Linked DNA regions of Elephas maximus indicus. The protein of the gene in region 2 binds, or shares a complex with, the protein of the main gene of each other region. Links are inferred from orthologs where the notes say so. Each region holds a gene or a part of one and is shown on either strand. Other genes may lie near its edges.

Region 1 (3,747 bases), on a different chromosome or scaffold from region 2:
CAGACTTAATGGTCTGACTGAGACTAGAATGACCCCAGAGGTCATGGTCCCCAGACCTTCTGTTAGCCCAAGACAGGAGCCATTCCCAAAGCCAACTCTTCAGACAGGGCCTGTAAGACAGGAAATGATACTGGTCAGGAGTCACCTTCCTGGATCAAGTAGACACATGAGGCTATATGAGCAGCTCCTGTCTGGAGCGGAGATGAGAGGGCAGAGCGGGTCAGAGGCTGGCAGAATGGACACAAAAATGGAGAGTGGAGGGAAGGAGTGTGCTGTCTCATTAGAGGGAGAGCAGCTAGGAGTATACAGCAAGGTGTATGTAAGTTTTTGGATGAAAAACTGACTTGGTTTGTAAGCTTGCACTTAAAGCACAATTAAAAAAATATATATCCAAAATAGATAGTTTTTCCTTAAAAAAAAAATTAAACTGCCCTTCAAAGAACAGGACCACACATGCGTATGATGTAAAATTGTGTCTAAACGGTAAGAAAGTGAAACGACAGGAAACGGTCTGCTTGCAGAGTAGAGGCTTCCACTCCGACAACCGCTGGCTTCGCCCGGAGAACCTCGAAGGCGCCTCTCAAGAAGCAGCAAAGTCGAGCCAGTTGGCGCCGGGGACTGAGCGGAGCTGGACCCGCAGGCTCGGCGCCCTCGGGCCTCCGGGTTCTGGCCAAAGAGGTGCGCCCGGCGGGGCTGGGGCGGGCGTCCTCTGCCCACCGGTGTACCGAAGCGCAGCGGCGGCCAGAGCGGGAGGGCCCCGGGGCCGTCAGAACAGCGCCCCGCCGCAGGAAGGCTCCGCCACCGGCCGCGGCCACAGGCTTCCGTCCCGGGCCAGTGCAGCGGTCGTTCCCCGGGACCTGAAATGCGGAGTGGGGCCCTCGGAACTGTAGTTCCCGAGGTCGTAAGTAGTGACACGACCCCCGGAAACCCAAGTCCAATTGACCGGAAGTGGGCGCGGACTCGCCGGAAACCGAGATCCTGGAAGTCGGACGTAGGGAGCGGGGCCGCCGGGAACTGTAGTTCTCCGCGAGCGGGGCTGGCTACCTAGTGGCATGGCGGGGCTGGCTACCTAGTGGCATGGCGGGGCTGGAGCTGCTATCGGATCAGGGCTACCGCGTGGACGGGCGGCGAGCCGGGGAGCTGCGCAAGATCCAGGCGCGGATGGGCGTGTTCGCGCAGGCCGACGGCTCGGCCTACATTGAGCAAGGCAACACCAAGGCGCTGGCGGTGGTCTACGGGCCTCACGAGGCGAGTGGGTGTGCACCGGCCGGGCTACCTCCGGGCAGGTGGAGGGATCGGGCCGAGGCGGGAGCCGCGGGGCGCGCGGGCCGCGCGGGGCGCGCGGGGCGCGCGGGGCGGGGTGCTCCTCGGTTCACTGAGCAGAGGCGTCAGGGCCGCATCTCACTTGGAGTAGAAGCCGAAGTCTTCACTTGGGTGCCGCACGTGGTCCGCACTTCTCATCGGCCTTGTCCCTTGCGCGCTGCATTCTTGTTCGCTGTCCCTGCGGGTGCCGCGCGCACCCCACCGCCCCACCTGGGCACTCAGCCCTGTGGCTTGTCCGTCGCCGTCCGGATGATAGCGTAGCGGACCCCGTTATCCACGTGGCAAATTCTCTCTACGAGCGCACACCTCTATTCCTTTCTCTACCTTTTTGTGCCTATCACCTGAAAACATCAACTTTCTCAATAGATGAAATTTATGTTTGTCTCCCCCACTGGAACATAAACGCCACGAGGACACGGTGGGACCATTAGTTTTTCTGCCGCGCCCCCAGCACTGTCACAGTGACGGCGGCGTAGGCACTGAAGAAAATGTTTGCTTGGCGAATGAGTCTGGGGCTCAGCTTTCCAGACTGAGAGAACCAGAACGGTGGGAACCAGCACAGCGTGTGTGCAGAGCAGAAAGGCTACTGGTTGGTCGAAGGAGGAATAATTCCCGATGAGGTTGAGGGGTTTCCAGGAAGGAGAGGATCCGGGACCTTGTAGACCAGGGAAAGGTTTGGGGTTTATTTCACACGCGGTATGAAGCCTTTGAAGGTAAGCAGGACATGTGAGTGTGTAGGTGAGAACCAGACTTGGTGTTTGTAAATAAACTCTGGATGCCCCGTGGAGGGTGGAAGTGGGTGGGGCAAGGATGGAAAGAGGGAGGCAGTTTAGAGAGATGTGATGCCAGAGGTGATGGTGGCTTAGGCTGCCCAAGTGGGCCTCCCTCAGGCTGTGTTTCGGAGGTGAGTAGCTACCCTTTGGTGAGCCGTTGGAGGTAGGGGGAGGGGCTGAGGTTTGGGCCTGAGCCACAGAGGACAGGGAAGCGTGTGCTGGGAGAAGTGGTCCGGCTCATGGGCCCTTCCTCCCTAGATCCGGGGCTCCCGGGCACGAGCCCTGCCTGACCGGGCACTGGTGAACTGTCAGTACAGTTCAGCGACCTTCAGCACAGGCGAGCGCAAGCGGCGACCACATGGGGACCGCAAGTCCTGCGAGATGGGCCTGCAGCTGCGCCAGACCTTCGAGGCAGCCATCCTCACACAGCTGCACCCTCGTTCCCAGATTGACATCTATGTGCAGGTGAGCAGGCAGCAGCCCTCAGCCTGGGGGCAGGGATGTGGGGATGGAGCTGAGGGTTCAGCAGCCTGACCGACCGATGGCCTCGGGGGCTCCCTGCAGGTGCTGCAGGCAGATGGTGGGACCTACGCAGCTTGTGTGAACGCAGCTACCCTGGCAGTTATGGACGCTGGTATACCCATGCGGGACTTTGTGTGTGCATGCTCAGCTGGCTTTGTGGATGGCACAGCCCTGGCGGACCTGAGCCACGTGGAGGAAGCAGCTGGTGGCCCCCAGCTGGCCCTGGCCCTGCTGCCAGCCTCAGGCCAGATTGCACTGCTGGAGATGGACGCCCGGCTGCACGAGGACCACCTGGAGCCGGTGCTGGAGGCTGCTGCCCGGGCTGCCCGCGATGTACATACCCTGTTGGACCGTGTGGTCCGGCAGCATGTGCGAGAGGCCTCTGTCTTGCTGGGGGACTGACCACCTGGCCACCACGCTCTGAATAAAGTCCTGCTTCTCTGCTCACACGAGCCCTGCTGTGCTTCAGTCCCCACCCTCCCCACAGAGCTTCCACGCCCCATAGCCTGGCCTGGTGTTTGTTCCTGGGATAACCAGAGGCCCTCGACCATATGTCAAGTGCATACCTCCTGCACCCTCAGGTTTCAGACCTGAAGAGAAAGATGGAGCTGGGCCTGGGGGGTGGTCTCAGTGGAGAGAACAGCATGACCAGGAAAGGCTGAAGGCAGAGAGCTTTGACGTGGGCCTGGCAGAAAAAGCCAGGCCGCTACACTGTGGGGTTTGTACATCACCACCCACCACACCCTTCTAGGGGGCCTGAGCATAGGGCTTGAGAGAGAACTCAGTAGCTGTGGGTACCAGCAAGGGGATGTGGAGCCATCTCCCACATCCTCTGGGCCACGGCTCAGACTGCATGTCTCTTGGGCTCCAAAAGTACAGCAGACGCCTGCTCTCACTGGTGTCTTCTCCCTCCGAGGTCTGACCATCCCTGGTCGGACACACACACCACAGCCACTGCACCCTCTGCAAGCTTCCCTTTCAACAACCTCCTTTCTGAAGATTGGCTCCACCGCCTGCCACAAACCGGCCTGAGCCTGAGCACCAGCCCCTGCAGCGGGCACCAGGGTTAAAATCCCAGAGACCTGGACTAACCACCAACTCCAGTCACTCGGCTCTGACAGTGTCCAAA
Region 2 (3,747 bases):
GCCCCGCCTCCCGCCACCAGAGAGGCCACGCCGGCCTGCGCCCGCCGGCCACAGCGCCCCCGCGCGGCCACGGCAGGCCACAGCGCCCAGGGCAGGCTGGCCCTTTCTTGGTATGGTTGCCAGATTTCCCAAGTAAAAACGTTAAGAAACCAAAACCCACTGCTCTGAGGTCGATTCCAACCCATAGCGACCCTATAGGACACAGTAGAACTGCCCCACAGGTTTCCAAGGAAGGCTGGTGGATTCGAACTGCGCACATTTTGGTTAGCTGCTGAGCTCTTAGCCACTGTGCCAACGGGACTATTTTGGGCCTACTCATACTAAAATATTGCTTATCTGATTGAACTGGGTGTCCTCTACCTTAGGAGCTAACCTAAAGGTCGGAGGTGGGAACCCACCAGCCGCTCCACGGTAGAAAGCTGTGGCAGTCGGCTTCCGTCAACACTGCGGCCTTGGAGACCCGATGGGCAGTTCTCCTCTGTCCTACAGGGTCGCTGAGTCGGAACTGACAGCAGTGGGCCTGTCCTGTTTTTCATCTAGCAATCCTAACCAGGAGGGTGGTGGAGGCCTTGAGCCACGACATAGTCTACACAACACAAGCTGCTCCTTCGGAGCCTTCTCCAGCTCTGCTGAAGTGTAGCCTGGTGCTGACCGCGACAGCACAAAAAGTTCGGTAATTCTCCCGTGTTGGGGAGACGCACGCTGCAGGCCCCGGCCACGACGGAGACGGGAAAGGACGTAGCCACTTTGAAATAATGCTCCACACTCAACGCTCGATTCTTTGTTATAAATTCGGCTCTCTTAAATTCTTGGCTTTACTCTCAACTAGCAGCATGCTTCCAAAGAGGGGCACCAAACACATCAAAGGCAAGAACGGCGACCGGAAGCCTGGCCAGGGACAGTTGAGCCCAAGCCGGGCCCGGCACAGCCCAGACCGCCACCGCCCCGAGCGCATCCCCGCCTTTCGCTTTCTCCGAGGCGGGCGAAGGGCGCGCGCCTCAGTGTGCACAGTGCGCAGGCGCACCCAACGCCGCACATGCGCGCCGGCGGGAAGATGGCGGCCGGCTTCAAGTGAGTGTCGGCGGCCCGCGGGCGGGACTTTTGGGTTCAGCGGGGCAGCCGCCGCAGGCTTGGGTGTCGGCCCCTTCAACGTTATAGCTAGGATTCCTTCACCTGGAAGCGGTCCCCGCCGGGGTCACACTTCTTTCCCTGCCCAAGCAGGCGACCAGAGCAGTTGCGGTGAAAGGAAAGGGACTTTTCCCCAGTGGGACGGGAGAGGGAAGGGTCTGGGTGCGCGGAGCCTTGAACCCCCTGCGAGCGCTCGTCAGCTGGCTGGGTGGACGTGCAGACCCGGGAGACCGGTTGTGATCACACGCGCCTCGTTCTCCTTTCTTGTTATTTATTTCTAAAAGGATTGTTGCTTGTTCGGAAGTTTGAGTTAAACCTTTCTGTGCCGCTCTGGTGAAGCCCTTGGTCGCCTGACAACAATGTCTTTAAAAGGATAAAATAAGAAAGGAAGCCAGTTATATTGTAATACATTTATGTATCTGTTAATACGAGTACTTTTTAAAGTGAAGTTTCTTAAACAAGATCTAGTGGTGAATGTAGTAATTACTGGAATTTCAGAGTAATGATGAGCCTAAAGGTACCTTAAAAAAAAAAAACCTTGGACAAGTAAAATGTAAAAGGGACGTATCCGTGGGTCTCACTGGTGCTATTAATGTTATTTTGGTTTATTGTCTGTGGTCATAATTGAAGGATATACTAAGTTTCCGTTGTACACCCATTGCCGTCGAGTGGATTCTGACTCATAGCGACCCTTTAGGACGGAGTAGAATGCCCCGTAGAGTTTCCGAGGAGCGCCTGGCGGATTCGAACTGTGGACCTCTTGGTTAGCAGTGGTAGCACTTAACCACGACGCCACCAGGGTTTCCAGCGACCCTATACGATAGTGAAAATAAAAATGTAACTTTTCATGCTCACTAGGTTAAAAATCTCAGCTTTAGAGCAAGAATAGCATGATTATTTTAACACCTGGATTAAGTCATTTTTAAAGATGTCCAAGGGCTTTGGTCTCTAACCCTGTAATTGTTTAAGGAAGAGTGAAGAATAGTGATTTAGTGCAATTGCTACTGTGATAGGGCTCTGTTTTTTATAATTACTTATAGGTGATAACATAGACATCAGAATTCATGTAAGAAACTTAGCTACAAATTTTGGAGATTGGCTGGATCACCAGACCCTTAAGAGCCTTGCCAGTTTTGGGATTTATGTTAAGATTCTTTAATTTGCCTGATAAATTTTTAACTCATGCATTTCAGAACCGTGGAACCTCTGGAGTATTACAGGAGATTTTTGGTCAGTAATGTCACTGTCTTTTTCATAACAATATCATATGCTTCTTTTAAGGACAAATTTCAGATATTCAAATTAAATAATTTGAATTTGAATTTATTTTGCATTAACATGGTTTAATGTGTTTTACCTGATTGTGTGTAAAATATACCTGTATATGTTCCATTTTCATATAAATAAACATTACATTTATTCAGAAAGAGAACTGCCGTCCTGATGGAAGAGAACTTGGTGAATTCAGAACCACCACTGTCAACGTAGGTGAGGATATTTTGAGTTCTAAAATAGGATGTTGATGTTAAGCAGTTTGTAAAATAGTATTTTTCTTAGTTTTTGTATATTAGTAGAGAATTATTTGTAAGTTTACTACCCTCTCAACTGATAAATTCATTTAAATTTCAAAATAACTATAAAGTGTTTTTTTCCCTTTCTTCCTTCAAAACCACAAAGACAAGGCTTTCTTATGGGCCTAATACTTATTCAGTCTTCTTGATGCAAATATGGTATTTTCCATTTCCAACTGTATGATATGCCCAAGTTCTAGCCTGTGAGCCACTTAAACATATTTCAGCCAAATCCTACCATGTCTATGGAATTGGAGTGATTTCTTCCTATTAGATTTATGTACACAACGATCCTGTGACTGTCCATGAAAAATGATTAACTCAAATTCAAGGGCAGGCAAATATTTCTTAAAAGAGTAATTTTAAATAGTTATAGCATTTTAAAATCAGACTCCTGAGCTATAAATTTTCATAAGCCACAGACTACAGATGTGTAGATGGCTAATATTATATTTAGAAAACTGAGGTTAACATTTTAGTTATTATATAGATAATTCTGTAGCTGTTTTTTTTTTTTTTTAATGAACTTTTTCATTTTACCTAAATATCTTTTCAGGTTCAATTAGTACTGCAGATGGTTCTGCTTTAGTGAAGCTGGGAAATACGACAGTAATTTGTGGAATTAAAGCGGTAGGTTTAATCTGTATCTTATTGATGTGAATTAGCAAAGTAGTGCCATATATTAGATTGTAATATACTGTTCTAATTCTACTCTTGATTAGGTAGCTAGGTATCAGTTGTTTGATATTTACTTTAATTTTCAAAGAGCTTCTACCTATCTATGAGTGTTACATAATACAGCCCTAGTTTAATGACTCAGTTATAATTTAGGAACATTTGTCAAATGTACCAAAATGAAATTATTTTTAATCTCACCACCCTTTATTTTTAGAAACTGGTTGTCATTGCAAATTAAGAGATTTTTGGCAGCATTCTTTTAGCCAGTGATGGCATTTAATCTGTGTGAAATGTGTAGAACATAGAGATTGTTGAAGAGAAAAGTGTGACACGATAATAGCTACCATTTACTGAGTGCCTGCTGTATTGC
Region 3 (3,747 bases), on a different chromosome or scaffold from region 2:
TCACCAAAAAAAAAAAAAAAAACCCAAACAAACCAGATGCTGTGGAGTTGGTCCTGACTCATGGCAAGTAGAACTGTGCTCCACAGGGTTTTCAGTGGCTGATTTTGGGGAAGCAGGTCACCAGGCCTTTCTTCTGAGGCACCTCTGGGTGGACTCAAAAGTCTAACCTTTCGGTTAGCAGCTGAGAGCGTGAATGATTTGTGTTACCCGGGGACTCCCATCTTCAACCACAGCCCCATTTATCTGATGCTCTTACAGTAAAACTCCCCAAGACTTGCCTTCACTCCCTGTCTCTTCCTCCTCTTCTCCTTGACCGAATAACAAAGCTTTGGACCCCATCCTTCCACTAAAGCAGTCCTTGGCAGAGTCACCTTCCCGAACCTCCAAACTGCCAAACCCATAGGTCTCCTGTGCTCGCGTGGCCCAGCCTCTCAGTAGGACCAACAAGGCTGTCTACCGTTACTTCTCAAACACGTTCTTCTCTTGGCTCCAGGTCCGCCCCCTCTCCGGGTTTTTCTCCTACCTCACAGGCTGCTCCTTCTCAGTCTCTTTTGCTAATTCCTCACATGTCCATGAACTCTCAAAGCTGAAGACCAGGGCTTAGTCCAGGACCTCTTCCCATTTCTATCTCTACTCATTTCAGGAGTGATTCATCCAATCGATTGCTTTAAACACCATCTACAGCCAGAGGATTCCAAAGCGTATATGCCCAACTTGGCTCTCTCCTCTGAATTCCAGAATTGTATCAACAACTGCCCATTGCACATTTCCACTCTGATGTTTAATACCAAAACCCCCAAACCAGTCGAGTTGATTTCAACTCATGGCGAGCCCAGGCGGGTCAGGGTAGAACTGTGCTCCATAGGGTTTACAGTGGCTGACTTTTCAGAAGCAGAAAACCAGGCCTTTCTTCTGAGTGCCTCTGGGTGGACTTGAACCCCAACTTTTCAGTTAGTAGCACAGCATTTAACCGTTTGCTCCACCCAGGGACTCCTGGTATTGCAAACATAACGTTCCAGACTGAACTTATCTTCTGTTGTCACAGCTGATCTGGAGAAAAGCCCAAAGCTTGACTAGAACAGTGGCTTTCAAACCTCCCTGATTCTTTTTCTAGTATCTCCAAACCAAATCATCTGCAAATACTGTTGGTTTTTACCTTCAAAATGCATCTAGGCTCTCACTGCTTCCACCCTGGTCTGAGCCATCACCACCTCCTCCCTACTATGCTCCCTCCAGTCAACAGAGCAAGCAGCTAGAGTGATACTGTTCATATATTCAGACCATGGCACTCCTTCACTCAAAGCCTCCAATGGCTCCCATCTCACTCTCTAGACCTTATATCATCAGCAATTCTCCTTACCACCCTCTGACCCCCTCTCCCACTAACTCCTCTCCACTTGCTGCTCCAGCCACATTGGCCTCCTGACTGTTCCTCAAACAAGGTCTTGTCTCAGGGCCTTTGTCCTTGCTGTTCCCCATGCCTGGTATACTCTTCCTCCTGAGATCTTCAGGTTTGTTCCCTTGCCTCCTTCAGGTCTTTATTCAAATGTCACCTCCTCAGTGAGGCCTTCTCTGACCATCCTATTTAAGATTCTAGTCCTCTGCAGCACACTCTATTCCCCTTCCCTACTTTATTTTTATAGCATTTTACTATATGTTTTACTTATTATTCTTATTTATTGTTTGTCTCCCCCACTAGAATGTAAACCCTATGAGAGCAGGGATTTTTTTTTTTTTAATCAGTTTTGGTCAGGGAGTCAGGCCTAACTTAAGAAGTATTTAGCTCAAGGAAAAAAATATTCGTCCAATAACTATAACTCGCCCCAATCTTTACTCATATGCAGATATGTGTATCCCAGTCAAAGGGGTGTTGACACAATTGGTGGAGCTGGGATGAAGGAGATCTTTCTTAACCCAGCAGTAATTATTAGGATAAAAGGCTGCCACAGCTACGGTCTAGCTCGTGGTGGTGATCTGCCAGTCTATGGGGTATTTATACAGATGGGAGGTTTGCCTCAGCCTGGAATATATGGACCCGGGCTGTGTGTGGGGTGAGGAAGGACGAATCTATTACAGGGAGTTACTTACCCCATGAGAAAGTTTTCCCTATTTTGGAGTATTCATTCTTATGGGGAGGACTGCCCTTCCCTCATCCTGCAAAGTATTTACGAGGGTGGAGATACCTTCCCACTTCTAGTCGGGAGGGAGAGATCTATCCCGGCCTAACCAGTATCCACGCGGGAGACACAATACAAGGGAGACACTTACCAGCTAGTATCGTGGGGAAAAGGGACTCCTCGTTGCACGGTACACTGTAGCCGTCCCCCGCCAAAAACAAACACCGCATGCGCGAACTCTTCCCGGGCAGTATTGACCTGGGTTCTTACCTTGCAGGAAAGAGGCTGAGCCATCCGGCCTGGACAGCAGATTTTGTTCGCAGGCAAAGTGTCGGAGGCTGCAGCCGGGGCCCCCGGGGCCAGCCTCAGCCCCAGGCTCAGTACGGATCTGGGTGTCTACCTGCATCGCCCCCTCCATCACTTGGGATTCCACGTGCAGTCCGCCACTGTAGCTTCCGCCCAGCCATGCGCGCCTGCGTACAAGCTACCCATCCAGTACGCACGCGCCCATCTCCCGGCGCTGCGTCTGGCGGCTGCACGTGGCTCAGCGTTTACCAACACTCTGGCCCCGCCCACCCCCGCCTCTCAACTCCAGGGAAGCCATTGGACAGCGGAGAAGGGGCGGAGCCTGGCATGGTCGCTTTCTTCCCGAGGCCCCCGGGCCCTGAAACCCTGAGGCTATGATTAGGTAGCCCTCTTCTTTGCCTGTTACGGAAGCAACAGCAGTAAGGCGGTCGGAGACTTTTTTAGGAAGCTGTATTGTTTTGTAAACTCATCTCTGCGTCCTAGCGTCGCCAGAAGCGGAAGCAGGTGGTTTCTTGGCAGGGTGGTGCAGGCAGCAGAGTCAGGCTCATGAAGTGGCAGCCCCTGACCCGAGGCGATAGGAGAGCCAAGGAGCAGCTGTTAGCCAAGATGGCGGTGGCGGTAGCTGCGACGAGGTTTTGGGGGCCAAGTCGAGGCCTGGGCAGGGCCGGCCTACTGCTTCTGAGGCGACTTGGGGCTCGGGGAGTGGCCTGCTCTGTGAGTACCTGGGGCCCCCGAGGAGTTTTCTCTAAGTGGGAACAGGCATATAGACGCTGTCTTCATTCAGAATGTGAGGTGCTTGCAGAGAGTGAAGAAAGGACAGTCAGGGAAAGGACAAGGGCTGGGAAAACCACGTGGAGAGGACACTCAAGGAAAGAACCTCCACTTCCTTGGGCGAAGAAAAGCGAGGCAGCCCCTTCGTGGGTTCTGAGGGAGGAGAACTCCTTATGAGTTGTGCCCCACCCCCAGCGCGTCTGCTTGGAAGGATGGGGGAAGGCGAGACAGTTCCCCTCAAAGGTTGGGGAATGAAACTGCCTTAGTAAGGAAAGGTCTTTCTTTTGGGTAAAGAATTCCCTTTATAAAAGAGGAAGGAGAGACCAGATCCCCCTGTCATGGGCTTTTATAAAGCAAAACCAAACCCGTTGCCATCGAGTTGTTTCCGACTCATAGCGACCCTACAGGACAGAGTAGAACTGCCCCATAGGGTTTCCAAGGGTGTAATCTTTACAGAAGCAGATGCCATATCTTTCTCCTGCGGAGCGGCTGGTAGGTTTGCACCGCTGACACCCTTTTGGGTCGCAGTCGAGCGCTTTGATCACTGCGCTAC

The links.
Region 1: EXOSC8 (region 2) and EXOSC4 share a complex: the UniProt entries of both Homo sapiens proteins name them as parts of the RNA exosome core complex. The link is inferred for Elephas maximus indicus from reciprocal best matches to the Homo sapiens genes EXOSC8 and EXOSC4.
Region 3: EXOSC8 (region 2) and EXOSC5 share a complex: the UniProt entries of both Homo sapiens proteins name them as parts of the RNA exosome core complex. The link is inferred for Elephas maximus indicus from reciprocal best matches to the Homo sapiens genes EXOSC8 and EXOSC5.

What each region holds. Positions count from the first base shown.
Region 1 is NC_064833.1:815,098-818,844, reverse strand, and holds EXOSC4 (exosome complex component RRP41), read left to right. Parts: upstream 1-952; 5' UTR 953-1,077; coding exon 1,078-1,248; intron 1,249-2,354; coding exon 2,355-2,561; intron 2,562-2,660; coding exon 2,661-3,020; 3' UTR 3,021-3,435; downstream 3,436-3,747. UniProt on the Homo sapiens protein: Non-catalytic component of the RNA exosome complex which has 3'->5' exoribonuclease activity and participates in a multitude of cellular RNA processing and degradation events.
Region 2 is NC_064832.1:18,315,901-18,319,647, forward strand, and holds the start of EXOSC8 (exosome complex component RRP43), read left to right. Parts: upstream 1-1,007; 5' UTR 1,008-1,036; coding exon 1,037-1,071; intron 1,072-2,321; coding exon 2,322-2,358; intron 2,359-2,552; coding exon 2,553-2,616; intron 2,617-3,255; coding exon 3,256-3,329; intron 3,330-3,747. UniProt on the Homo sapiens protein: Non-catalytic component of the RNA exosome complex which has 3'->5' exoribonuclease activity and participates in a multitude of cellular RNA processing and degradation events.
Region 3 is NC_064829.1:109,793,505-109,797,251, reverse strand, and holds the start of EXOSC5 (exosome complex component RRP46), read right to left. Parts: upstream 2,631-3,747; 5' UTR 2,536-2,630; coding exon 2,388-2,535; intron 1-2,387. Other genes in the region: BCKDHA (2-oxoisovalerate dehydrogenase subunit alpha, mitochondrial), read left to right, coding at 2,970-3,137. UniProt on the Homo sapiens protein: Non-catalytic component of the RNA exosome complex which has 3'->5' exoribonuclease activity and participates in a multitude of cellular RNA processing and degradation events.